7 linked regions of the Sus scrofa genome follow. The protein of the gene in region 1 binds, or shares a complex with, the protein of each later gene. Links are inferred from orthologs where the notes say so. Each region holds a gene or a part of one and is shown on either strand. Other genes may lie near its edges.

The links.
Region 2: SNRPG (region 1) and GPKOW share a complex: the UniProt entries of both Homo sapiens proteins name them as parts of the minor spliceosome. The link is inferred for Sus scrofa from reciprocal best matches to the Homo sapiens genes SNRPG and GPKOW.
Region 3: SNRPG (region 1) and PRPF6 share a complex: the UniProt entries of both Homo sapiens proteins name them as parts of the U4/U6-U5 tri-snRNP complex. The link is inferred for Sus scrofa from reciprocal best matches to the Homo sapiens genes SNRPG and PRPF6.
Region 4: SNRPG (region 1) and GEMIN2 share a complex: the UniProt entries of both Homo sapiens proteins name them as parts of the SMN-Sm complex. The link is inferred for Sus scrofa from reciprocal best matches to the Homo sapiens genes SNRPG and GEMIN2.
Region 5: SNRPG (region 1) and CWC22 share a complex: the UniProt entries of both Homo sapiens proteins name them as parts of the minor spliceosome. The link is inferred for Sus scrofa from reciprocal best matches to the Homo sapiens genes SNRPG and CWC22.
Region 6: SNRPG (region 1) and TXNL4A share a complex: the UniProt entries of both Homo sapiens proteins name them as parts of the U4/U6-U5 tri-snRNP complex. The link is inferred for Sus scrofa from reciprocal best matches to the Homo sapiens genes SNRPG and TXNL4A.
Region 7: SNRPG (region 1) and GEMIN4 share a complex: the UniProt entries of both Homo sapiens proteins name them as parts of the SMN-Sm complex. The link is inferred for Sus scrofa from reciprocal best matches to the Homo sapiens genes SNRPG and GEMIN4.

What each region holds. Positions count from the first base shown.
Region 1 is NC_010445.4:72,197,231-72,201,521, reverse strand, and holds the start of SNRPG (small nuclear ribonucleoprotein G), read right to left. Parts: upstream 2,801-4,291; 5' UTR 2,679-2,800; coding exon 2,647-2,678; intron 1-2,646. UniProt on the Homo sapiens protein: Plays a role in pre-mRNA splicing as a core component of the spliceosomal U1, U2, U4 and U5 small nuclear ribonucleoproteins (snRNPs), the building blocks of the spliceosome.
Region 2 is NC_010461.5:43,176,764-43,179,301, forward strand, and holds the end of GPKOW (G patch domain and KOW motifs-containing protein), read right to left. Parts: intron 2,432-2,538; coding exon 2,308-2,431; intron 2,215-2,307; coding exon 2,145-2,214; intron 1,046-2,144; coding exon 960-1,045; intron 867-959; coding exon 732-866; 3' UTR 501-731; downstream 1-500. UniProt on the Homo sapiens protein: RNA-binding protein involved in pre-mRNA splicing. As a component of the minor spliceosome, involved in the splicing of U12-type introns in pre-mRNAs.
Region 3 is NC_010459.5:62,814,154-62,818,308, reverse strand, and holds the start of PRPF6 (pre-mRNA-processing factor 6), read right to left. Parts: upstream 2,801-4,155; 5' UTR 2,636-2,800; coding exon 2,565-2,635; intron 1,383-2,564; exon of another isoform or gene 1,042-1,382; intron 956-1,041; coding exon 787-955; intron 1-786. UniProt on the Homo sapiens protein: Involved in pre-mRNA splicing as component of the U4/U6-U5 tri-snRNP complex, one of the building blocks of the spliceosome.
Region 4 is NC_010443.5:169,674,660-169,678,951, forward strand, and holds the start of GEMIN2 (gem-associated protein 2), read left to right. Parts: upstream 1-1,492; 5' UTR 1,493-1,507; coding exon 1,508-1,677; intron 1,678-2,046; coding exon 2,047-2,131; intron 2,132-4,193; coding exon 4,194-4,283; intron 4,284-4,292. UniProt on the Homo sapiens protein: The SMN complex catalyzes the assembly of small nuclear ribonucleoproteins (snRNPs), the building blocks of the spliceosome, and thereby plays an important role in the splicing of cellular pre-mRNAs.
Region 5 is NC_010457.5:85,550,338-85,553,837, forward strand, and holds part of CWC22 (pre-mRNA-splicing factor CWC22 homolog), read right to left. Parts: intron 1,900-3,500; coding exon 1,822-1,899; intron 1,208-1,821; coding exon 1,055-1,207; intron 1-1,054. UniProt on the Homo sapiens protein: Required for pre-mRNA splicing as component of the spliceosome. As a component of the minor spliceosome, involved in the splicing of U12-type introns in pre-mRNAs. Promotes exon-junction complex (EJC) assembly.
Region 6 is NC_010448.4:127,977,889-127,981,112, reverse strand, and holds part of TXNL4A (thioredoxin-like protein 4A), read left to right. Parts: intron 1-340; coding exon 341-444; intron 445-3,224. UniProt on the Homo sapiens protein: Plays a role in pre-mRNA splicing as component of the U5 snRNP and U4/U6-U5 tri-snRNP complexes that are involved in spliceosome assembly, and as component of the precatalytic spliceosome (spliceosome B complex).
Region 7 is NC_010454.4:47,108,137-47,112,157, reverse strand, and holds the start of GEMIN4 (gem-associated protein 4), read right to left. Parts: upstream 2,801-4,021; 5' UTR 2,545-2,800; coding exon 2,535-2,544; intron 2,529-2,534; exon of another isoform or gene 2,199-2,528; intron 264-2,198; coding exon 1-263. UniProt on the Homo sapiens protein: The SMN complex catalyzes the assembly of small nuclear ribonucleoproteins (snRNPs), the building blocks of the spliceosome, and thereby plays an important role in the splicing of cellular pre-mRNAs.

The sequences.
Region 1 (4,291 bases):
GATGCTAGTCAGGGTCTAAACCCACTGAGCCACTATAGGAACTCCCCGACCCAATATTCAATGACAGAATCTTACGACCAAAACAGAAAAACAAAGATTTTGTTATATTTTGGTTATTTTAAAAACCAAACAAAGTTGTGAAGAAATCAGAAGGTAATCAAACCATATCCAATCCAATGGATATTTTATTTTATATTTGAGACAATACATAGTGTTTTATTTAATATTAAGCAACAATCTTAAATGTTCAGGATATTCTCCAACACCCAAGTATACTTTAGCAAAATAAATGCATATTGAAATTTTAAATAATTTGAATTAAGCAACAAAATTCCATATCAGCAGGGTAGTATGAGAATATGAAGCCAAGGGCGTTCCCGTCATGGCTCAGCAGAAGTGAATCTAACGAGTATCCATGAGGATGCAGGTTGGACCCTGACCTCACTCAGTGGTTAAGGATCTGGCATTGCCATGAGTTGTGGTGTAGCTCACAGACACAGCTCCGATCTGGTGTGGCTGTGGTTTAGGCCAGGGGCTACAGCTACAGCTCCCATTCGACCCCCCACCTGTGAACCTCCATATGCCGTGCGTGCAGCCCTAAAGACAAAAAGAATATGAAGCCAACAAGTCAAACCAGTTTTTACCTCTTTGCTGTAGGCTAGAAAATATGAAACTTCATTCAATTTTAATGTATATCATGGAGAATTCAAAGATAAATAAGACATGAGGCCTGAAGAAGGTGTAAGAAGACAGGTTTTTACAAATAAAAATATATAGTATGACATGTAAAACAATCAATTTTACTAGGATGTTATAAAAAAACACAAATATAACACATATGAACTTATTTTATTTAATCCTTATGAAAGCTTTTTAAGTTATGCATTGTTATTACCACCAATTAACAGATGGGGAACCAAGGCCCAGAAAGGTTAAGTAAAATTTCCAAAGTCACTCAGCAGTGAAAAAGTTTGAGCAAAATCAAATGGTTCAGTTTGGCCCAAGAACATGGTACTCAAATATTAGCGTGTGTAATATTTGGTGCTTGGATTTCAAATGGAGGAGCGTTACTGCTGGTTCAAGAAGTCTGGACTTTATTATGCAGATGGCAATAAGTTACTGCAGCAGTATCAGGCATGGCTAAGATTACTGAAGCATGTGTAAATCAATCCATTACGCTGTACATCTTGAACTTACGTAGTGCTGTAGGTCAATTTTATCTCAAAAAAACTGGGGGAAAAAAAAGACTACTTTGGCAATGATTTTTAAGAGGGGTAGGAAGAATATGATTGGGCCAGGGTATCTCAACCTTGGCATACTGACATCTGGGACCAGATAATTCTGTTGTTGAGTGATGTCCAGTGCACTGTAGAATATTTAGCAGGAACCCTGGCCTCTACCTACTAAATGCTGGTAGAACCAGACTCTCTACACCACAGTTAAGAACCACAGAATTATATTAAAAGCAGACGGAAGATATAAAAATGCAAAAAAAAAAAAAGATTTCGGGCCTCGTGGGTGGCATGCGGAAGTTCCTGGGCTAGGGACTGAACTTGAACCACAGCAGTGCCATGTTGGATCCTTAACCGGCTGAGCCACGAGGGAACTCCAAAAAAAGATGGTAAGGAAGAAAAAGTTAAAAGTCATTTTGGAGGTAGACCTGGCAGGATCTCACAATTATTGAAATCTACATATAAGAAAAGAAAGGTAATTAAAAACTCTCATTAATATCTTAAGAATCAAAAAGGAAATCTTACCAAGAACACCCCCCCAACAAAAGAGCCTTCTCTAATTAGAGAAAAATGAATGTTCTCACGCATTCCAGTTAACAGAGCAAAATATCACACATTCAAGTTCAACCTAAGTGCAAGAAATTAAGAAAAAAGAACGGGATTTCTTTTTTTTTTTTTGTCTTTTTGCTATTTCTTTGGGCCGCTCCCGCGGCATATGGAGGTTCCCAGGCTAGGGGCTGAATCGGAGCTGTAGCCACTGGCCTACACCAGAGCCACAGAAACGCGGGATCCGAGCCGAGTCTGCAACCTACACCACAGCTCACGGCAACGCCGGATCCTTAACCCACTGAGCAAGGGCAGGGACCGAACCCGCCACCTCATGGTTTCTAATCGGATTCGTTAACCACTGCGCCACGACGGGAACTCCCAAGAACGGGATTTCTAAGTTAAAGCTCAAAGGAACCACCAACACACTAAGATGAAGGCAGCTTTTGAATTTCTCATATACCATCAAAACAATTCCATTCCATCCACCTCCTTAGTTCCTTACAGAATTACTGTCCAACCACCTTATCTCGAACGTGATGCTACTCAAGGCGTTCAGCTAACTGTGGTATTCAAGATCTTTAAGTAACGAAGGATCGAGTGCCAGAGACCCGGCCAGGAACTCCGGCCTGGGAGGCAAACCTGCAGACGGAGGGGCCTTTACGTCTTTGAAAAGCATGCCCACCAGGCCGAAATACAACATTTGCGCGGGATGCAGGCCCGGAAACGTGGGACGGTGGCCCGGATCGCGGCGGCAGCCAGTGGCAATAAGCACGGCAGACACACTCTCCGGAAATGGCTGGGGATCCAAGGAACTCAAGGCCTACAAAGAAGCCGCCATTTATGCGCGGCCCTCATGCATACTTACTTCTTCAACTCCGGCGGGTGAGCTTTGCTCATGATGCCTACTCCGCGAACTCAAAGAAACCTCCAAACGGAATTCGTGTTCTCCCTCACGCTCCAGCGGTAGGCCCGGTGCTTTGCGTCTGACGTCACTGATCCCGTTAGCCAATTGATTGTTGGCCGCTTTCACGTTTCACGTCGCGATACTTAGGAAAATCCTGAGCTCGCAGATCAGTCCCAAGCTTCCGTTGTGTCGCCAGGGATTGGCTAGAGCGGAGGGGTGGGGCCTCCAGTCTTTATATTCCTCTTTGTAATTGGGTTGCTGTTCCTGCCTCTAGCATTTGAAGGACGCTGGTTAACTCATTGTCTTTGTGGGTTGCAAAGTTGTCTTGACGCTACCAGATGAAAATAAGCTCTGGAGGGGTAGGCTCCTAAAAATTTCTTTGGCATGTGTGTGCATACTTCCATGTGTTGTTCTTCCCTTTGTTGTCCTCTGCAAACACTGCGGTTTTTTTTTTTTTGGTCTTTTTAGGACCGAACCCTCCGCATATGGAAGTTCCCAGGCTGTGGGTCAAATCTGCGCTGCAGCTGCTGGCTTTTGCCATAGACAAAGCAACGCTGGATTCTTAACCTACTGAGCGAGGCCAGGAATCAAACTAGTATCCTCATGGATACTAGTCCGGTTCTTAACTCCCTGAGCCACATCGGGAACTCGTTTTTTTTTTTTTTTTAATTTAGCAAATTGAAGGTTTGAGGCAGCCCAGAGTCCAGCAAATCTCCCAGCGCCATTTTCCCAAGAGCATTTGTTCACTTTGTGTCTGTGTCATTTTGATAATTCTTACAGTATTTCAAATTTTTTCATTACTGTATTCGTTATGGTGATCTATGATAGGTAATCACACTAAGAAAAAAAAAATCTTGTGACTTGCTTTGAGGTATTTGCTTCACTGTTGAACCTGTGGTATTTTAGTATTCCCACAGGATGTCATGCTACAACTAAGGTTCTAGTAACAGCTCAGTTAACGACCTCTGCACCAAAGGAATAGAGTGAGGGGGCCTCAGTTTCCAAAAATTTTAATCTAGAGGAGTTCCCGTCGTGGCGCAGTGGTTAACGAATCCGACTAGGAACCGTGAGGTTGCGGGTTCGGTCCCTGCCCCTGCTCAGTGGGTTAACGATCCGGCGTTGCCGTGAGCTGTGGTGTAGGTTGCAGACATGGCTCGGATCCCGCGTTGCTGTGGCTCTGGCGTAGGCCGGTGGCAACAGCTCCGATTCGACCCCTAGCCTGGGAACCTCCATATGCCGCGGGAGCGGCCCAAAGAAATAGCAAAAAGACAAAAAAAAAAAAAAAAAAAAAAAAAATTTTAATCTAGAGGTCATAAGTATATTCCCCACGGACAGTCCTGCAATGCTTCCAAAACCCCACTTAACTGTACCTTGCCCCTCTATATAAAGTATGAAGAGCAGCACACAGATGATTTCTAAAATATTGATTTTCAAGTCGAAAGGTGTAAAAAATGGTCTGATTTGATCCTAGTTAAGTTTCCCAAAAGAGGAGCAGCCCACATTTATGAATCAAGAACAATAGGGATTATAGAAGACTTAGGCCAAAACGGAAAAGCATTGGTTGTACAACTGGGCAGCAGAAACTGACAGAACATTGTAAATAAAC
Region 2 (2,538 bases), on another chromosome or scaffold:
GCTGGCAGCTATAGCTCTGATTTGATCCTTAGCCTGGGAACATCAATATGCAGCAAATATGGACTCAAAAAGTGAAAGAAAGAAAAAATTTCTCCACCACTGGCCTGTGTTCTGAAGCATGAGGACCTTATACCAGAAACTAGATCTAGCTTAAATACCACTAATTACGTCATTGATTTAGTGATTGAGGATGATTTAGAAACAGCTGTGCCTAAAGCTCTGCCTTCCTTTGATTTTTTTTTTTCTTCCCTTGTTGATTTTGTATCTTAGGCCATTTAACAGGGAAAAGGAATCTCTGACAAAGGTTGACAATAACCTTTTTGAGAATCCAGTTACCTGGAGCAACCAGAGAAATTCCACCCGAGACAAGACAAAACATTTTTACCTTCAAACCAAAGTTTTGGGACTTTTGGGACAAACGGGGACCCTGGGATTCCTGGCTGCTCTGCAAAGTGGTGCTAACATCTCCATTCATAGCTCAGTATACCACTTTCGATCTGTTCATTTTACCAAGTCTTTGAGTTGTTTTTTTATTATATACATACTAACTTATGGTAAACACTGGGTTTGTTTCTAGTCTCCCTTCTGGTCCATCCAGCTGTGCCCTGTCCCTGCCCCAGGGCTGCACTGAAAGTGGAGGGCTGAATCATGACCTCCCCACCTTCGCGAAAGCTGGCTTTTCACACTGTACGGGGTTGGTAAGAGCCAGCAGATGGGAGTGTGTCCACAGGTCAGTCTTCATCCGAGTCGCTGGGGCCCACATACTGGCAGATGGCATCATAGTGAAGCTCCACCACCTGATTTTCTCTCCGCAGCTGCACCAGCGCCCGGCTCCGCTCTCTGTCCCGTTCCAGCAGACGGCCCACCTAGGGTCGGGGCAGGTGGGGTCAGCAAGGCCAACCCAGACTCTGGGACATTGCGTGCACACCCCCACCCCCATTCCCCGGTCTGGGACTCACCCTTCCAGCCCGTGGCCCCAGCACCACCATCACCCGGTGGCCCTCGACCTTGGGGACCAGGGTCTCCAGCATGTCTTCCCTCAGGCCTGCAGACAAGGAGAGGGGAGTGAAGCCCACAGCAAGGGCCAGCCCAGCCAAGGTCCTGTCAGAAGGGCCTTTCTTGGAGTTCCCGTTGTGGCACAGTGGTTAACGAATCCAACTAGGAACCGTGAGGTTGCGGGTTCGATCCCTGGCCCTGCTCAGTGGGTGAAGGATCCGGTGTTGCCGTGAGCTGTTGTGTGGGTTGCAGACGAAGCTCGGATCCCGCGTTGCTGTGGCGTTGGCCAGCAGCAACTGCTCCGATTGGACCCCTAGCCTTGGAACCTCCATATGGTGTGAGAGTGGCCCTAGAAAAAGCCAAAAAAAAAAAAAAAAAAAAAACCAAAAAAAGAAGGGCCTTTCCTGTATTCCCTGGAGCCGCTCTGTACCTGTCGACAGATAGGAGTCTCCCACATTCATTTCACAGGTGACAAAACCTAAGGAGCAGATTCTGGCAATAGTTCTAATAAAGGGAGAATTTATCTCTGATGATGATGGTTGGGGGTGATCACAGACACCATTTATTGAGGGCACATTGTATGACCTGCCCTGCACGGGGAGCCCAAGACATTTCCCGACAAGGCACCGGCACAAGAGGGAGAAACAGGTTATCTCCATGTTAATATTACCGACGGGGAAAGTGGGGCTCAGATAGTCACCATCACAGAAGCATCTAGGGTTGTGTTAGAGGATGCTGAGGCTTGCAAAAAAAAAAAAAAAAAAAAAAAACAAAAACGAACTGTGGCAGTTCCCGTTGTGGCTCAGTGGTTAACAAACCCGACTAGTATCCATGAGGACTCGGGTTCAATCCCTGGCCTCGCTCAGTGAGTTGGGGATGCAGCATTGCCACGAGCTGTGGCGTAGGGCACAGACGCAGCTCGGTTCCCGTGTTGCTGTGGCTGTGATGTAGGCTGGCAGCTATAGGTCCAATTTGACCCCTAGCCTGGAAGCTCCATATACCACAGGTGCGGCCCTAAAAAGACCAAAACAAAACAAAACAAACTCTGCCCAACCTCCCAGCCTTTGCCAGGGCCACGCTTGCCTAAGATGGCCCTCTGAATCAGCCTCCAGGATGATAATGACCCAATGGCCATCCCTAAAACTCACCTTCTAGGACCTGGCCCTCATCTGTCCGACACACACAGGTATCTGGGCTCAGGACATCTTCAATTGTCATCTGGGGAGAGGGTCGGGGATACATGAGGAAGTCAGACAGCTAAGGGGGCCGAGTCCCTGGAGGAGGAAGCAGACGCAGGTGCGGGGCTCCCACCTTGGTATTGTAATACTGGCCACCCTTGTGCTGCTTGTCCACAAACCGCACGCGCAGGTCCCTGTGCAGCCAGTGCTGGCTCCTGGGGGCTGCTTTCTCACTCTTGGCTGCAGGCCCATCTGGTCTGTGGGGAGGGGCCAACACCAGACTTAGCTCTCCACCAGAGGCACGGATGTTCCAGTTGCCCCACCTTTGCCGATGCTATGAAACCCACCCATGATGCCGTTGCTA
Region 3 (4,155 bases), on another chromosome or scaffold:
TAGAAAACTTCCATTGACCAAACATCAATTAACCAAGAGAATGAGCACTAAAGCCAAAGAAAGCAAGGATTACCACCAATTCCACTTAAAATTTTCATCATTAAAGATCAGCCAAGGAGTCCCCACTGTGGCACAGTGAGTTAAGAATCCTCTCACTGCAGCTGCTCGGGTTTTGAACAAGTGCATGTTTGATCCCCTGCCCCACACAGTGAGTTAAAAGAGCTGCAGCCGGCTCGGATTCAATCTCTGGCCCAGAAACTTCCATATGCAGTGGGCCATTAAAAAAAAAAAAAAGAGGAGTTCCCATCGTGGCGCAGCGGAAACGAATCTGACTAGGAACCATGAGGTTGCGGGTTCGATCCCTGGCCTTGCTCAGTGGGTTAAGGATCTGGCGTTGCTGCGGGCTGTGGTATAGGTCACAGACTCGGCTCGGACCTGGCATTGCTGTGGCTGTGGTGTAGGCCGGCGGCTACAGCTCCAATTCGAAGCCTAGCCTGGGAACCTCCATATGCCGTGGGTGTGGCCCTAAAAAGGACAGAAGAGACAAAAAAAAGAAAAAGAAAAGAGACCAGCCAAGACAACACGCCAGTGTAACAACTCTAACACTTGCAAAGGCATCAAGTGCACAGTTGTTTGCATTTTTCACATGCCCCTCACTGCTGGCACTATCCCACGAGTAGCTGACATAAGAGCACCCGCCACCCCAAGCCACTCATCACAGATGCCAAGAGCACACTGCTGAAGCTGGGCGGCCCTTCTGGACACTGGCCAGGGAGCCCCAGTCACCTCATCATAGTTGGTGTCATTCAGATCCTCATCGTCGTCATCTGCGGCCTGGCTCTTCTTCATCTGGTCCCCGACGGTCCTCTTGCCCGGGGGCGCGTGGCGGTCATCCACGGGATCATTGGCATCCCGGGCAGGCCCAATGTCTGACCGGGTGGTGAAGCCAGTGGCACTGCAGGAGACCCCAAGACGCCCACTTATCTGAGTGGCCTTGTTTCTGTGCTTTTCCCTCCACAGGCGTCACCTGATGACACCTACTTTTCCAACTGCTCTGGGAAACCTCCAAAGATCCCGTGAACTCCCCACAGTGCCGTGTGTGCAGGGAACCCCACACAGCCGTGCTCTCCAACGTCGCCGTCCGTCCGCTTCAGGACAGGAAGCTGAGGAGGCTACCAAGGCTCTCTCCTGCCACCCCCGTTCTCCGGGAGAGGGCTTCGCCAGGGCACCAGCCTCCCATTCCCAACACCTGCTAGGCATCTCCCTCTCCCACTCCACCCGGGCCTTCCAACGCAGCTCGGCCCAGGCAGAGCTCCCCTTCCGCACCGGCCCTGCAGCGGCAGCTCTGGGCTGTTTCAGCGGGTGGTGGCAGTGCCGTCCCAGGCACCATGGCATTGGCTCGGCCTCCCTCTCCCTCCCACCCGCCTCCAAGCTCTACAGGGTCTCCCCCCAGAACCCATGCTCCTGAGACCATGACTCCCATCCCATCTCGTTAGGAAGCAAGCTACCCCCCTGCATGGAGCTTCCCTAGCTTCAACACAGCTCCGACCGCAGCCTCTACGCAGCAAGGCTCTCATTCAGATTTGAAGGAGGAAACGAAAGCTTTACAGGCAAGCAAAAGCTAAGAGAATTCAGCACCACTAAACCAGCTTTACAACGAATACTAAAGGAACCTCTCTAGGTAGAAGGAGACCATAACCAGAAACAAAACTATGACGAGTGACGGGGCTCACCGGCAAAGACAAACACGTGAGAAAGGGAGAAGGTCAGCCACACACAAACAGGCCACCAAACCCAGAAATCGGGAGCAGAGGAGGGTACAAAGGCAGGATGCTGGGGATGCACTGGCAATGAAGAGACCAACAGCTTACAACAACCCTGTGTATACAAAGACTCCTATATCAAAACTTCACGGTAACTGCAAACCAAAAATCTACAAGAGATACACACAGAAATAAGAAAAAGCAACCCAAAAACAACACTGAAGACAGTCATCAAACCACAAAAGAAGATAATAACTGCTCAATTCCTCAGCAATAAACGGCCGTCATCTGATCTAGGGGACCCAGTCACAAGCCTCACAGATGCCACCCCTGCCCGCGGAGAGCTGACTCTGAACAGGCAGTACTGTGACCACCGACACCGCAGCGGAAGAACGAGCAACCCTGAGCGAGCACACAGAGGACCCCGGCCGGACGGTGGGGGAATCAGTCCCGTTCAAGGCAGGGGTTGGGGGGGGGCGATGCCTGGCCTGGGGGGTAGTAGCCACGGTGCTCAACTACAAGCACTGCACACTCGCAAGACGGCGTTACCACCCGCCTCTCAGCACAAACACCGGGCTCAGAGCGCCCCGGTGTCCCGTCTCCTGGGGAGGCAGCCTCGCTCGGGTCTGTCCGAACCCAGGACGCCGTTCTTCCCACAAAGACCTGGCCAACCCTGCGCCACCGCTGCTCTCGTCCTCCCCGCCCCGACCCGCCGCCTCACTGAGACGTGTGGGCAGTCGCGACGCGACCACGGTCCCGCCCGGGGCTCCACCCCAGCGCGCGGCCCGCCCCAGGCCTCACCCCCGGCCCAGCCCGGGCACGTAGCCGAGCGGAGCGGGCATGCCCAAGAACGGCTTCTTCTTCTTGTTCATCGCGGCTGTGACGCCGACGGCCGGGAAGGGAAAGGACGGAGGCTGCGGCCGGAGGCCAAAGACGACAGACGACCGAAGCGCCGCCGCAGGAAGAGCTCGCGCGCCCGCGTCACCCGCGCCCCGGAAGCAGAGCGCGCGAACCGACAGATCCCCGCCCACCTCGGCGGCCCCGACCGGAAGTTCCCTAAAGGCGACTTCCGCCCGCTTCCGGCGGCTCCTTGACTCCGAGACCGAGACGCGATAGGCGCATGCGCGGGGGGCGCCTGCTCGTGTAGCTGCGGGCGGGCGGGCGGTGTCACCCTCGATTAGCCCTCGATTAGCAGTCTGCACACGGGGGAACCTCAAACCTTGAGCCGGGGCGGCCCTGCTAACTGCGTGTACTCGATGCATTTCCGATACCTGCCTGTATGGGCAGGACCTATGGGTCCCCCGCCTCCCGGATCCGCCCTCCCTGCCCCCCGCCCAGTCGCCCTGGCCCCGGGGCAGGGCCTAACACAGCTCCGGGGGCTGCACACCCAGCCAGTTGTGTAGAGCTTATGCGGAGTGTATGTGTTGTGATCGCGTGTCCCCGGGTGCAGACTGCTTCCCTGGCTCTCCGCGCTCAGATTTCTGGACCCGATCCGGCAGCGCCGGTACCTGTACAGGCCCCCACCCCCACCATACCCTGAACATTCAGGTGCTTCTGGTGAGGGTGGGAGCCCAGATCCTAGGGAGCTAATTGATGAGCATAAATAAATGCACCAGGACAAGTTAGTATGCGGGCATGAGTGGTCACAGCATGTGGGTGAATTCCGTGTGTCCGTGGGCACAGGTGCAAGTCAAGCCACCTGTGCTCATATTTTAGGTGAATATGCATGACCGTCCTTGGCATACATGTCTGTGTGTCCATGTGCACGTTTGCTGAGGTGGCTGTGGGACATCCTCTGGCCCCCACATTCACCTGGGGAGAGCCCTCAGGCTCTAGGCAAAGCAAGCAAAAAGCTGGCCACATGTTTAGCCTTCTGCTGGACCAGGCAGCCCCCAGCCCACCCTAACCTTTCTCACTGGGGTCCTGGAGCAAACATAGCTCTCCTGCCTGCTGCAGCCTTCTCAGAGTTTCTCCCTCCTCCTTGCCCCCAGCCGAATCCCTTTCAGCACCACGCCCTGGACGCTGAGTCAGATTCTGGGTCTCCAGAGGGGAGGGGAGAGACCCTGCTGTCCTCCAGAAGTTTGCGGTGTTGTGGGGAATAAGAAAGGGTCGAACTGACTTCTCTGGGGAAACGAGTGCCCGTTGGACAGGGAGACCACTGGAGAGGTCTGGAGATGACGTGAATAAAGGAATAAGTAAACTGACATAGGAGAATGGGTTAGGTCTGGCCCTTGACCTGGCCCCCAGTGGACAGAAGCTCCCCGGAGCAGGTACACTACCCTCTCCCCTCCACACACGCACTCTTATGTCCCTGACTCAGATGCTCCTGCAGACCTCTGGATCTCCTGCCGGTGCACAGAGTCCCTTGTCCTTGCACGCCCAGGTGCGCACT
Region 4 (4,292 bases), on another chromosome or scaffold:
TGGCTCTGGCGTAGGCCGGCGGCTATAGCTCCAACTAGACCCCTAGCCTGGGAACCTCCATATGCCGCGGGAGCGGCCCAAGAAATGGCAAAAAAAAAAAAAAAAAAAAAAAAAAAAAAAAAACCAAATTACTCCTATGATCATTATTTCTTCAGACTGGCATTTTTTACAATGCCAGAGAATATTAAAAAGAGAGAGAGAGAAAGAGGTCCTGTGGTCAAAAACACCAGTAAAATTATGTACAATAGGTATCTTGACTTGTCAAGAGTTTTAATATGCTAATATTCATTGTGAATCTTTAAGAGTGGCATTTGCATACATTTCCCAAAGATATTTGACCTTGGAACTTTTTTCCAGGGACCATCTGGGGGCAAGTATTCTGAACATTATTCAGTCATTAATTAATCACTTGTTAATGTGTAACAGCCAGTATTTTCCTTCCTACTTTTGAACCCACAGAGATTTCCAAATTGGAGATTCCAGCAGTAGGTAAAATATGGTAACACAAATTTCTGGGAATTTTACATGGTCACCACTAGATGGCGGTTTCACCTCTACTTTTTCTTTTTTGTTTACTCTATAAACGAGGCACTTATTTTTTCTAACGTGGATTCTCTTCCATTTGTTCAGATGGTGACATTATAAAGCACTGGCCAACTATTTTTGAACTACTCACTAGAAAAAGTAATATTCAGCATCATATATGTTCTACTCTGCATGCCCTAAGACTACAATAATATCAGGTATAGTTAATAAAGCTAATTAATAAATTACACATTAGAGTTAATAGAATTCCAAACTCAAATAGACCTTAATGATAATTTGGTCCAATCCCTGTAAATAACAAATGAACGTGAGCATAAGAGTTTAAGTAGCACATACCAGGTCAAGGTGCTGATGGCCATTTAAAATTACAACACGGTTGATTTCATGCCTGTCTTTTCTTCTTTAAATGCTGACAAGACTTGTCACTAAAACTGCTAGCTTTTGTTCAAACAGCAATTGCTTCTATTCCATGGAAGAGTTCCCCTGTGGGGCAGCTGGTTAAAACTCCTACGTTGTCACTGCAGCGGCTTGGGTCACATCTGTGGCGCTTGTTCAATCCCTGGCAGGGGAGCATGCCACAGGCCTAGCCAAGAAAAGAAAGAAGAAATGCATGTGATGTGTCTACCAGAGACTTAAGAATTTAGAGCTCAACAAGTGATAATTACAGTAATCTGCTCATTAATTTAAAAACATTTAAAGTTCCCTCACTACTGTGGATGCATAAAATAATCTTCAGTATTTACTTAGGAGAGTAAAGAAGGAACCCCCCTTAAACACTTCAGAACCACTAGTACCAGGAACTAAATTCCTGGTCTTCATTATTCCACCCGAGCCTTAACCTTAGGACAACCAGCGAGTTAGCTCATGCGCAGCTTCGCCCCCTAAACCCAGCCTCTTGCCCATCTCCGCGCCAAAGGCGCCCGCCCACTTGTGCGCCTGCGCTGTGACCTAGACTTGGCGCATGCGCCGGGCAGGACGGGCCGGATTGAAAACTATGGCGTGGGTACCTGCAGAGGCTGCGGTGGAAGAGTTGATGCCCCAGCTGTTGCCAGTGGAGCCCTGCGACTTGACAGAAGGTTTCGATCCCAGCGTACCTCCGAGGACTCCTCAGGAATACCTGAGGCGGGTCCAGTGAGTGATTAGACCCTGTGCGGTGGGCTGGTGGTTCTCCCTGCGCACAGCGCCCAGTGCCTCGCCCCACCACCAAATTTGATAAAGCCCTGTCTCTGATCCCGTCTCCAGTTTAGGACCGGATCAAGATCCCTTCATTGCATCTATGAACTTAATTTTGCTAAACGTGATTACTCGTGAGAAGATAACGTGAACTTAAATTTCTTTGCTTTCAGTCCAGATAATTTCAGAAATATATCGTTTAGTACCTCAATTGCAATTCTGAACTTTTTTTTTCTGATTTTGTAATGAACTGTAGAAGTGGATCGCTTGTTTTAATGCGCATGAACAACAGTAATCACGTTTCTTGCATTTATTATTTGTTTGTAGGATCGAAGCAGCTCAATGTCCAGATGTTGTGGTAGCTCAAATTGACCCAAAGAAGTTGAAAAGGAAGCAAAGTGTAAATGTTTCTGTGAGTTTTATTACCCGTCAGGGGATTTCCCACTCCCAACTACAAATTAAAAGACCAAGGCTCTTAGTATAGTATCAGATAGTATCAGGCAGTATCAGTTAAGATTTGACTACTCTGTAGTAAGTTAGTAAATTAGACATTTGCTTGTACTTTGTCCCCTAAAAGGACAGATTCCATTTACTGCTTCCATAGAGGCTTTTGGTAACCCTAGCATTCATGGAGATTTGCTCATAATACTTTAAGAAGATGATCAAATCCTAAAGGAGGCTTTAAATAAGTTACTTACGCTATCCTTTATTTTTAAGGTATCTTTTTGCACTTCTTCATAATTATTATTGGGCTGATATTTAACTTTAATGTAGTTTGCATGTTCTGAATTTGACTGGCTTTTGTTTTTTAAAAATTTGAAATCAAAATATCTTACACTTTTCTAGGTATTTTGCCACTGTAAACCTTTTCATTTGTTTATCCAGCACACTTTTTACAAAGCAACTCTGTTGTGCTAGACACTGGAAATACAACAGAGGATGAAACAAAAAATATGTCCCTACCCTTGTAGAGTTTACATTCTCCTGAGAAAGAAGAAAAGCAAACAATTTAATTGCGTATTTTGACTCTTGCTGTGAAGAAAGTTAACATAATGACCAATAAGTAACAGGGATTAGCAGCAGAAGGTCTCCTTAAGGAGGTGCTATTTAACCCACAGTGGAAGGAGAGGATTCAATTTGTTTTTAAATTGTAATAATTCCTTTTCCTTTTATGTTCTAAGTAATTCCTTTATCTCATGTTTATAATCAGGAGATTTTAATTCAGACACTATAGTTTTCATGTAATTCCTTTTCAGAAGTTTTTAGTTGCTGGAAGATGATACCTTATATATCTGGCTTTTAAAAAATGACCATACTAGGAGTTCCCATTGTGGCTCAGTGGTAACAGACCTGACTAGGAGGTCATGGGTTCAATCCCTGACCTAGCTCAGTGGGTTAAAGGATCTGGCATTGCTGTGAGTTGTGGTCTATGTCACATATGTGGCTTGGATTCAGCATTGCTGTGCCTGTGGGGTAGGCCAGCAGCTACAGCTCCAGTTTGACCCCTAACATGGGACCTTCCATATGCCATGGATGCAGGCCTAAAAAGACAAAAAAAAAAAAAAAAAAAAAAAAAAGACCATACTAAGTTTTATTTCAAGGCAATATGTGATCATTTATCACCTATGTGCTATTTTGGGAAACAGAAGTAGACCTTGTAAAGTCAAAAGTCTTAAATTACTTGAGTACATTCTACTCATACCAAGATTCTTTTTTTGGAATATATCTCTCTTTTTGTTTCAGACTGTTTTGCTGTTATAGAAAAGTAGGGCTAGATTATATCTTCAGGGCTCGTATGATTTGTTTTTTTTTTTTTTTTTTTTTTTTTGTCTGTTTTAGGGCTGCACCCGCAGCATATAGAGGTTCCCAGGCTAGGGGTCCAATCGGAGCTGTAGTTGCCAGCCTTTGCCACAGCCACAGTAGAAAGTAGTATTCCTACTTTTATTAGCTCAGACATAATTTTAAGCTCTTTAGTAGATATGTTATTGATGGACTAGTAGATAAAAGAGGGTGTTGGGGGAGGCTAGGGGTCCAATCAGAGCTGTAGTTGCCAACCTACACCACAGCTCACGGCAATGCTGGATCCTTAACCCACTGTGCAAGGCCAGGGATCAAACCCACAAGCTCATGGATGCTCGTCAGGTTCATTAACCACTGAGCCACGACTGGAACTCTTGGATTTCTTAATACATATAATATATACATAAATATATAAACTATAAGCCATTCCATATTGCTCTTACTAAAGTGATCATATAAGGGGTCTTTTCCTAATGTCTTATGTCTCAGACATAAATAGTAAAGAGAATTCCCTTTTTTACATCTGAAAAAAAATTTATAGAAATTTATTTCTTGTGTAGTCTTATTTGCTTTATTATTCATTTTTCGTCTTGATTCTGCTTTTACTTTGCAGAAGCATGAGATTCTAGTTATAACACTAACATTGATTCTGACATTTATGAACTGATCTCTAGCTTTCAGGATGCCAACCTGCGCCTGAAGGATATTCCCCTACACTTCAGTGGCAACAACAACAGGTGGCACAGTTTTCAACTGTTCGGCAGGTAAGTGTA
Region 5 (3,500 bases), on another chromosome or scaffold:
TCCACTAGCTCATTTGTTTCATTTGTTGAAAATTTTTTACTCCCTTTTTCCCAGAGAAAAGGGAAAAAAAGAAGTAAAAAATTATTATACCTCTTGGGTCAGCTTATAAATGCATATTAAAGTAGCTGGGCACACTTAGCACTTAGTATTACAAAAATTCACCCAATGATTACAAGCTCAATGATGTTGCTTCATTCTACCACAGGATTATGGTATTCTAAAATATGATCCCCTTTTTTCTTTCTTCTTGTATATAATTTTCTTTTCTTTTTTTTTTCAATTCCTTCAGTAACTTTGTTTTTCTTATAACCTATCAGGTTTTATTTTGTCTTATTACTACAGGCATCTTATCTCTTCTCTGACATAGTACTAAGATCCTTGAAATAAGAATCATATAAAATTCTTCTGGACACTCAGTTAGGCAAAGAGTTGGTGACTAAACAAATGGTTGTTGAATGAACAGTAGCTGTACAATTAAGTGCCAACTTAATGAGTGAAGTTCAAATTCTAACACAGTGTACATTTTCCCATCAAGAATACCTTTCCTTGTTCTAATTATGACTATGGGATCTTCTCCCTATCACTTATTCAACTTTAACGGATGCTACGAAAAATACATCCTGACAGAATAATCACGTCTCACGTCCCTACTAGAGAGACTGCTGATAGCTACTCCCTCACGAAACGGCAGTTACTGAGAGGCTCATATGCCACCAAACAACTGGTATATGTGAATATGGGTGTGTGTGCCCATATGTGTACACAGAGAAGATGAAAATGCTCCCAGCCATCACTATTAAAAAACACTGTGATTTTGGGTTGTTAATATCATTCACAGTGATATTTCTTACACTCATATATTATTTACTTAGCTGATGATCCCATGTCACATTAATATAACCTGAAAGACAGCCATTATAGTAAAAGTTTGCTACACATCTCATTTAAAAGTATGTTTCCTACATAGGAAAAGTATGGCTATGTTATACTTAATCTATTTCAGAATAACAGGGGATTAGCCAAGAAGAACAAATATATTGACCCATCTACTTACGCTCCAAGGAAGTGAATCAGTATATAAAAGGTGAGCAAACATCTTAGCAACATTTCTCAATTTGTTTGTTTCCAAGCGATGGATGGTATCATATTGTTCTTTGAATATACTTTCGAAGGATTCCATGTATTCTTTTTTTAGCATACAAAATCGCTAATAAATTAAGAAAAAGTCAATACCATTATTAAAGCCTTCTAGATTTATTCAATCAAAAGATAATCAATATTTTGTATATCATATAACCTTTTTGTGCTGTATAATGGGATGCTCAAAAAGTAAGATAATACGTATTATCCCTAGGTACTTGGGGTTTATATGCTAAAACAAAATTATACATGTAGCCGATCACAGACATACACATTTGCATAAAATAAACTTCTCTGTGAGTAGAGTTTGGATTCTAAAAAGTATTTTAGCTCATCCTTTACTGTGCTGCCTGAACATGTACTTGACTTCAGAAACTGCTGTGAAATTGTGAAAAGACAGCATTTAATTGTTCTCTTTGGGAAACTGTCAAAAAGCATGTGGAATTTCCCAAAGCCCTGGAAGAGTGATATGTAATGTTACGGCACTACAAAAATAAAGTGGGACAGGAGGAAGCTGCAGAGAGTGGGGAACCTGAGGGGTGAACAATTTGTTTTCAGGAAAGATATGTTATTACATTAGACTAGACCATAAAGCAGACACATTAATTCACAACACTCATGTTAAGAATTCCCTTTGTGATTTCATCACAATCCAACAAGAAAAATGATGTTGGAACTCACCCCAGCTAATAAGCCAAAAAATTTCTCATATGTCCTCTGTTGGGCACAGCAATCAAGTATCATGTTGCAGAGTTCTTTCTATTTGGAAAAAAAATTACATTAATGATTCAAAGCACAATGAATCCATGCTGTATAATAATTTATCAATATGACAGAGATAGCCTGAACTTTAAAGTAAGGTTTTCAAAACACAAAACTTCCACAACTTTATGAACTTTAGTTATGAGGACAAAATAAAAAAAATCAATCTATGTCAAGGCTATAGTCTTTTAAAGGCTTCTGTTTGGCTGACAGAAATTTCAGTCATCTATGCTAATTACATCAATTATAAAATTCTAAATTTGGAGTTCCCATTGTGGCGCAGTGGTTAACGAATCCGACTAGGAACCATGAGGTTGTGGGTTCGGTCCCTGCCCTTGTTCAGTGGGTTAACGATCCGGCGTTGCCGTGAGCTGTGATGTAGGTCACAGACGTGGCTCGGATCCCACGTTGCTGTGGCTCTGGCGTAGGCCTGTGGCTACAGCTCCGATTCGACCCCTAGCCTAGGAACCTCCATGTGCCGCGGGAGCGGCCCAAGAAATAGCAAAAAAGGACAAAAAAACAAAAAAACAAAAAAATTCTAAATTTGTATAAGCATGAACTACTTCAAGAAAACCTCGTATATGAAAGAGATACACCAAAAAGAGACTAAATATACTGTATTCTAAAAAGATTCTATCCCAGTAGGGCCTCCAAAAATAAGTTAATTATGTAAATAAATAAAACAAAAGTAAAAAGATTTTATAAATATGTCTTTTAAATACAGATTAACAATATGACATCTAACAATTCAGTTATACACCTTTTGAAGATTTAAACCCAATTATTAATGAATATATTTTGTTAGTATGGAAAAGACAGATCATAATGAGTCTTTACAGAGGCATAAATGGACACAACTTCAATGCTGAGTTAAATGACCCTCTGGATGATAAAGAAGAAAATATATTTAAAAGAACAAAATAAATGTTATGAATATAGATCTGTCAATAGATGGATCTATACAAAGAGATGGAGTCATTAAACTCCTGTTATAACACAATGTCTAATCAGTTATTTATGTGCTTTGAAAAAATTACTTTGTGAAAATTCTATTGACCTAAGAAGTGCAAGAATAAATCCAAGATTAGGAAATACCATCATCACAAATGATTTACACTTAATATTATTTACTAATTCCTGAAATAATCCTAATGAAATATGTATTGATTATAGCAATTTCATAGATGAGGAAACTCAGACATATGAACAAATCAATGGAAACAAAACTAAAAAAAGGCACAAATTCATTCTCTGACCACTAAATATCTGTAGACTTGACTAAATATCTTTTTCTACAAAACATTTCTTATCAAAAGTTTAAAATTATTTTTTCTAAATACAGTAACTGCAATTTATTTGTGCTTTTTACAAATAGAAATCTATAAAATATAATGTATATCATTTCAGTTCATTTTTACTTTTAATTTTACTTTCATATTTTTAACTACAAATTTTGACATCTTTGTCACTTAATAACATGAGATACAACTTAAGTAACTATTGCAAATTTTTAAAAATTAGGTCAATGTTTATTTATCGCATACATCTTTGTAACAAAGATATTATGGAAAAATACAGAATAGACATTCTAGAACTGT
Region 6 (3,224 bases), on another chromosome or scaffold:
GCCGCTCCCGCGGCATATGGAGGTTCCCAGGCTAGGGGTTGAATCGGAGCTGTAGCCACCGGCCTACGCCAGAGCCACAGCAACGCGGGATCTGAGCCACGTCTGCAACCTACACCACAGCTCACGGCAACGCCGGATCGTTAACCCACTGAGCAAGGGCAGGGACCGAACCCGCATCCTCATGGTTCCTAGTCGGATTCGTTAACCACTGCGCCACGACGGGAACTCCCTATACACAAATTCTTTTTGTTTTTGTTTTTAAATGTGCTTTTATGGAATAAAAAATGATTTGTCATTTTACATTTTGTTTTTTTTTCTCCCCAACCTCTTTTCCTTTTAGGTTAAAAATTTTGCAGTTATTTATCTTGTGGATATCACAGAAGTACCTGACTTCAACAAAATGTATGAATTATATGATCCGTGTACTGTCATGTTTTTCTTCAGGTATGTTCTCTTAAAGTTGTTATTTAAATTGAATAGATGGTCTGGAAGTTTAATGTAATCAAGATATCTTTAGATTCTTTTCTTTAGGAGGAGGTCAGTTATGCACTCATATCATAATATGGTTTGTGTCACCAGGCAATCAGTGTGATCTTTTAAATAATTTTCAAAGTAGCAATTACAGATTTAGCATTTACAGTAACACATTACCCTTTTGAAATAACTGCCCAGAAAACTAAATGAAGTGTAATTAAGTGGAAGATGTTCTTATTGACATTTCAGATACCTTTAAGTATAATATGTTGATGAAAAAATGTTTAAAATAACTGACTTTTTAAATATGATATCAATGACTTTATTTAGTGTCCTTTTGTGATAGCCAGAAGGAAAACCTTTACTTAATTACTTTGCTTAGAAATACAAGATTATTTTATCAGCTGAAAAATTCTGTTGCTGGAGTTCCTTTTGTGGCCCAGTAGTAATGAACCCAACTGCAAGTTCAGTCCGTGGCCCAACTCATTGGGGTAAACATCTGGCGTTGCCATGAGCTGTGGTATAGGTCACGGACGTGACTTGGATCTGGCACTGCTTGTGGCTGCGGCATAGGCCAGTAGCTGTAGCTCCAGTTCTATCCCTGACCTCACTGTAGCTCCAGTTCTGTCCCTGGCCTGGGAACTTCCATGTGCTGTGGGTGCAGCCCTAAAAACAAAACAAGACAAAAACTCTTTTGTGGACTTTAATCAGTCAGTTACTGACTCAAGGAATAGAATTTCCCTAATCGCCTTAAATTAATTTGTATCCATGATTTACAAACTTTGCATGAAAGGAGAACATAGAGTGGCTACTGGTTAGGTACATGGGTGTCCAATGCAGATGCAAATACGTTTGATTGGGGTTTATAAAGTTAAGTAGCATCACAAGTGAAAAAAAATTCTCTTGTGGACATTTAATTTGGAAAGAATCACCATTTCACAGTTTTTACTTGTCAAAATTTCTTACTGTTGGAGTACCCATTGTGGCTTAGCAGAAATGAATCTGACTAGTTTACATGAGGATGCGGGTTCAATCCCTGGCCTCACTCAGTGGGTCAGGGATCTGGCATTGCCGTGAGCTGTAGTGTAGGTCACAGATGCAGCTGGAATCCTGCGTTGCTATGGCTATGGTGGTGTACGCCAGCAACTGTAGCTCCAATTCGATCCCTAGCCTGGGAACTTCCATATGTCTAGGGGGTGGCCCTAAAAAGAAAAAAAATTCTTAGTTTATTGTTACTACAAAAGTTAGTAAATAGCAACATAAACATTAGGCCATACTCCAGAGGTAGAGCTTCACAATTAGAGAAGTTCTGGGTAGAGTATATAGGGTGTAGATTAGCTTTCTGTTCTGTTTGACAGTGTGCCCAAACTTGGTGGCTGAAAACAACACCATTTATGAGCCCAAGGTCTGTAGGTCACAGTCCAGGCAGGCTCACTGGGTTCTGTCTTGGGGTCTCAAGGCCATAGTCACAGGCTGGGCTTTTAGCCAGGCAGTCAGTCAGGGGGGAATCTACTTGGCTCTTGGGGACTATTGGCTGAATCCAGTTTCCAGTTCTGGGTGGACATGGGAATGAGGTGTCTTTCCACCTGGGCCCCTCTGTGCTCCTAGAGGCCCCTCCAGCTTTGAAGCCCTCAACCAAGAGTTGAGTCATTTTTACACAGTTGCTCTAACTTCCTGTTCTGCTTTCAGAGGGCACACTTGATGGATTAGACTGTATAATTCTGGGGCATCTCCTTATTTTAAAGTCAACTGGTGGGTACTTGTAGGGATACCTGCAGAATTCCCTTTGAAGTGCAGTGTAACTGATCGGAGGCATGATGTCATCTCATAGTCCTGAGGATTAGAGCAGGAAATAGCAGAGGTTATTTTAGGATTCTGCCTACTGCAGTCTGCCCTTTGGCTCACAAAGATTCAGATCCCTCTCGTATGCAAAACTGAGTGTGGATGAGGCTTCTCTGGGTGACCCATTAAGCCCAGCTCCTGGACACTCTTTCTCTGTGGCCCCTCCCCAGGATACAGTGTGGGACAGGCATAGGGAACAGTCTGGGTTCACCAGGAGCAGGGCTTTGATGCAGGGCTAGGATCATCCTCTTGGTCCAATGCCTGCCCTCGGGAGGGTTCTCCCCAGCCTTTTCTGCCTTTTTCATGAATGGCATTTCAGCTGGCTTATTTTTCAGCCTGCTTCCTGCCAGCAGCATGAAGTTGTAGTGCTTCCCCTCGGCCTGAGCAGGTAGAGTCTGTCCTGGGTGCCAGAGCTTGCTGGTTGCTTCCTGGGAGAAGATCCTGTCCTTTGAACATTCTGACCTTTAGGTCTTTTCCAGGTTTCAGTAGGTTATGTGGCTTCTGTGTCAAGAGTTCAGCACCCATTTCTGGATTTCAGCATCTTTTGCTATTTGGAGAGGCTGAGAATTTGTTGTTGTTGTTGTTGACAGTTTTTACAACCAGTTTCTCTCTTCTTTTACTATAAGGCCTAGGAAACCAGGCAGTGCCTTCAAGACTTTACTTCTGTGTTCTCAGCTCTTATCCACATGCATCGCTTACAAGTGTCACAGACATTCTGCCACTGTGTAGCAAAGATCCCTTTCCTCCACTCCCTGGAACATGTCCCTAACTCCTTGCAAGTCCATATTTCTACTAACAGGCTATTTAAGGCAATCCAGGCCTTTTCTGTTATGCTTCTCAAAGTTCTCCAAAAGTCCTCCAGGTGGGAATATGGGTGCCGCCTTAGATCCTGCTTCTCACTGCATGTG
Region 7 (4,021 bases), on another chromosome or scaffold:
CCGAGCTTCGGTGTCGGAAGGGGTGGCGGGGTAGGGCTGAAGAACCTTGGCCCAGATGATGATCAGGGCCTTCTTCTTCCAGGCGAGGGGCTGGGAGTGCGCCGTGGCCGCGGAGATCTCCCTCAGAGCCTCCACGATGGGCCGCCCGACGTGCTCCCAGTCAGACTTGGTCAGTTCTGCCAGAGCTTTGGGGTGGAAGAGCTGCTCGGCCAGCAAGAAGCCCCCGTGCAGAATAGTCATTTCTTCACAGATATTCAAAGGTCCTGCACAGACACAAGCCGAACAGGACGGAATGTGGTAAAAATGTTCAGAACAGCAAGCAGAGGTCAGAGGGAAAGACGGCACTTAATCGGGGGCTGTCGTGATTCGCCTTAGAGATAAGGGGTTTAAATGAAACCAGTAGGAGAGGGGGAAGAAGGGGTCAAAGAGCCACTGCAGGGGCTCCCGCCATGGCTCAGTGGTTAACGAACCTGACTAGTATCCATGAGGACTCGGGTTCGATCCCTGGCCTTGCTCAGTGGGTTAAGGATCCAGCATTGCTGTGGCTGTGGTGTAGGCTGGCGGCTACCCCTAGGCTGGGAATCTGCATATGCCTCAGGTGGGGCCCTTAAAAAAAAAGTCCTTCCTCCAGTGAGCCTTGAAGAACTTAGCAAGGAAGACATCTTGGGATGTTTAATTAGACATGGGTTTAAATCCTAGCTCAGCCATTTAAAAGTGGTATGATCTTGGACAAAATACTTCTCTGAGCTGCCCTTCTGCTTACGTGGGGATAATACCAACTTCACATTAGGACTGCGAAGACCAAAGAGGACATGCCAGTCAAGCCCTGGGCACTACTGGCTTCTGATCTCATCTCCCAGGGCTGCTGAGGGTCAAGTAAGACACAGCTACAATCAGACTCTGGCTACAAAGAGCCTGATTAAGGGCTCACTAAACACTGGTTCCCTCAAACCTCTCCACTGTTGGCAGGACCCGATGAATTGTCTCTCTTCTTTGCCTCCTCCAGCTCAGAAAAAGCAAAGGACATGGGTCTCTCTCAAGTATATCTTCTCTGGCCCCGAAACGAAATCAAGAGCATGAATACGGCTCACCCCCGACCCCTCTCCCCTTCCCTAGTGCCCCTTCCTCAGTCCTTCATGCCCCCAAGAACACATCTTCCCCACTTTCACAGGCCGGGAGTCAGCAGAGAGAATCTCGATTCCAGGAGACTCTGCTTAAGGGAGCAGCACTCCTAGGTGACCTACCCGTGAAGGAATCCACCCTGGGGCCCAGTGCCCGAGGCAGACCTGGGGGAGGGTTAGGCTGCTGAGGGGTCTCCCTGGGGGTTGCTGGCCCTTCTTTCTGGCTCAGGCTGCTCTCCCAGGGACCCGAAATATGCTCCCTTCTGACTGTCAATGTAATTTTACTGCATTATCTGCTCAGCTGAGATGTTTGGTCCTGAGACCAACTTTCAAGAGACAGTAAGTACATGTGCTACCTGAAGGAGTAAGTCTCAGAAGCAGTGAATGGCTGGGCAAATCCCAAACTGTTTTTTCACTACAGGTTAACTGGTGCTTGTGATCACCCACTCCTTATGTTAATATTAAGGGCTTACTCGGTACCAGGCACTGTGCTAGTTGGTGTGTTAAGATCTCTTTTAATCTTCAACCTTTTGAAGACCGTTCCTGTTTTGGAGGTGGAAACATTTAGGACTGAAACAAGCTGCCCAGGATGCGGGAACTACAAAGCGGTGGGGCTGGGACAGATCACCACAGCTGCAGGGCTCCAAACTCTTCCTACTCTACCCTCCCCCGCTGCTGGGGACAGCGACCTGAACGCTTCTCTACAGCCCAATACCGGCACATCTTGGAAAGCCTCACCCCAGCTCTCCCAGAAGTCTCCTGGTCTAATGCCCTTAAAAGCACGTCCAGGTTGGGGGGGGGGGGGGCAGGGCAAGGAGCCGCCGATTTAGACTAGCTCCCCGCTCCCAGACTTTGACTCTGAGGAATCCAGATGCACGAGCCACCTCCGCTGCTACAAACGGTCCCCACAACTGCCGGTGTGAAAAACGCTAGCTCTGCGCCAGGTACCCGACCGGACACTGTACACAAGCGACCTCGGTGAAAACTTCCCCAAACTCTCTGAGGCGGATACGATATCGTCACCACGTTTTATCTATGAAGACCTCAAGACCGTAAGAAACTTGTTCAGGAACTTACTAAACGTCCAATAAATGAAACCGCCGGGGCATCAGGGATCCCCCGGGGCATCCTCCTCGCCCGACCTTTTCCTAAGCACGTGCCCGAACCCGTCCGCTCCCGGGAACGCTAACTTCACATCCGCTTGGCCCGCAGTCGGCAAGAGGCGGGCCGAGACGCCGCGGGGCCGGGGCTGGAGCCCGGCCGCTCCGACCCCGGTCTCCGGGACACCCCCGCCCTCTCAAACCCCTCCCTGACCCGGAGGTCTCCCTCAGCCAGGACCCGCTCAGCACTGCGTGGTCGCCGGTTGGGGGACGCGGCTCTCGCGGGCCCGGGACAGGGGAGCCAAACACCCACCTAGGTCCATGGCGGCGATGCTGGCGGCCTGGCGGCGGCGCGAGCCACCCCTCTCCCGCCCGGGAGCAAGGGCGGCGCAGGCGTCACAGCACAATGGCAGGCGCCGGGGGGCGGGACAATGGGCCGCGTGTCGGCCCCCGCCCTCAGTCTCAGCTCGGGTTCCACGCGGTTTCTCCGCCGACCTCTGTCGCTCAGCGTGTCCGCGGCGTCGGGACCGCCAGGCCCACAGCGCCCCCTATCGGCCCCAGCCCTCGACGCAGCCAACAGGCAAGTACCCACGCTTCCGTCCCCACGGCGAGCCCCGCCCCTTCCTCTCCCCAGGCCCCGCCCCCAAGGCGCCCGCCCCTCCCAGTCCTGGCTCCGCCTCGCCAAGCGTCTGTGCTCTCAGGCTCCTTCTCCCTGGGCCCTAGTGAGTCCCACCCGCTAGTTACATCGTAGCCCCGCGTTCTCCCGCATGCAGTTATCCGCTGATCTGTCGCACACGGCTCACCCTCACTGAACGCCCCTCCCCAAGCCGCCCACTAACTTGCACAGGCGCACCATGCCCTGAAAGGCTTCCTCCTCCGCAGAGGGTCTCTCTCAGAACCCCCTGGCCCCTCAGCAGTCCGCCTTCAGACAGCAATAGCTGCTCCATCATTTTCTGGCATCAAAGACGCCTTTGAAACGTCAATGAATTGACCTCCTCCTTATAAAATGAGCCAAAATACTTGGGCAGATCTAATTCAATAGGGCCTGATTTGCAATCTATGAAAACACATTTGATTTCCCACTGAGGAAACAAGTATTCTATGTTCTTCCCACACATTGCCCTGTCTCCCTTTCTCCCTTTCCCTCCTTCTCAGACTTAATCACCAACCTCAAGTGTTTCTAACTTTCCATCCAACAGCTTCCAGCGCCAGATAACATCTAGAAAAGACAGAGGGGCCCAGCCTCAGCTCTCCCAATGTGCCAAGTGGAGTTTGAGATGGCCTGCGCTGCCATCAAGCAGTTGAAGGGGCCAGTGAGTGATAAGGAGAAATTGCTGGTGTACAGCTTCTACAAACAAGCCACTCAGGGCGACTGCAACATCCCTGCCCCTTCAGCCACTGATGTGAAAGCCAAGGCCAAGTGGGAGGCATGGAATGGGAACAAAGGGATGTCCAAGATGGACGCCATGAGGCTCTATGTTGCCAAAGTGGAAGAACTGAAGAAAAACGAAGCCGGTTAGGGAGGACAGAGTGTCACACAGAATGAAGTAGCATGGTTCCTCTGGTAGGGAATGGGGCTTCTTAAAAGACCTTGCTGGGGGAAATGTCCTGAAACCCTAACAAACCAGAGCTGAGACATCAATAAATCACTTAAACTGCATGAGTGATTGTCTGCTGCTGGAAAACTGATGAATTCAAAGCGACTATGAGAGTCCTGGGGAGATATCCAACATGTATAAAAAGAATCTATCTTGGGAGTTCGTGTAGCAGTGCAGCAGAAATGAATCCGACTAGGAACTA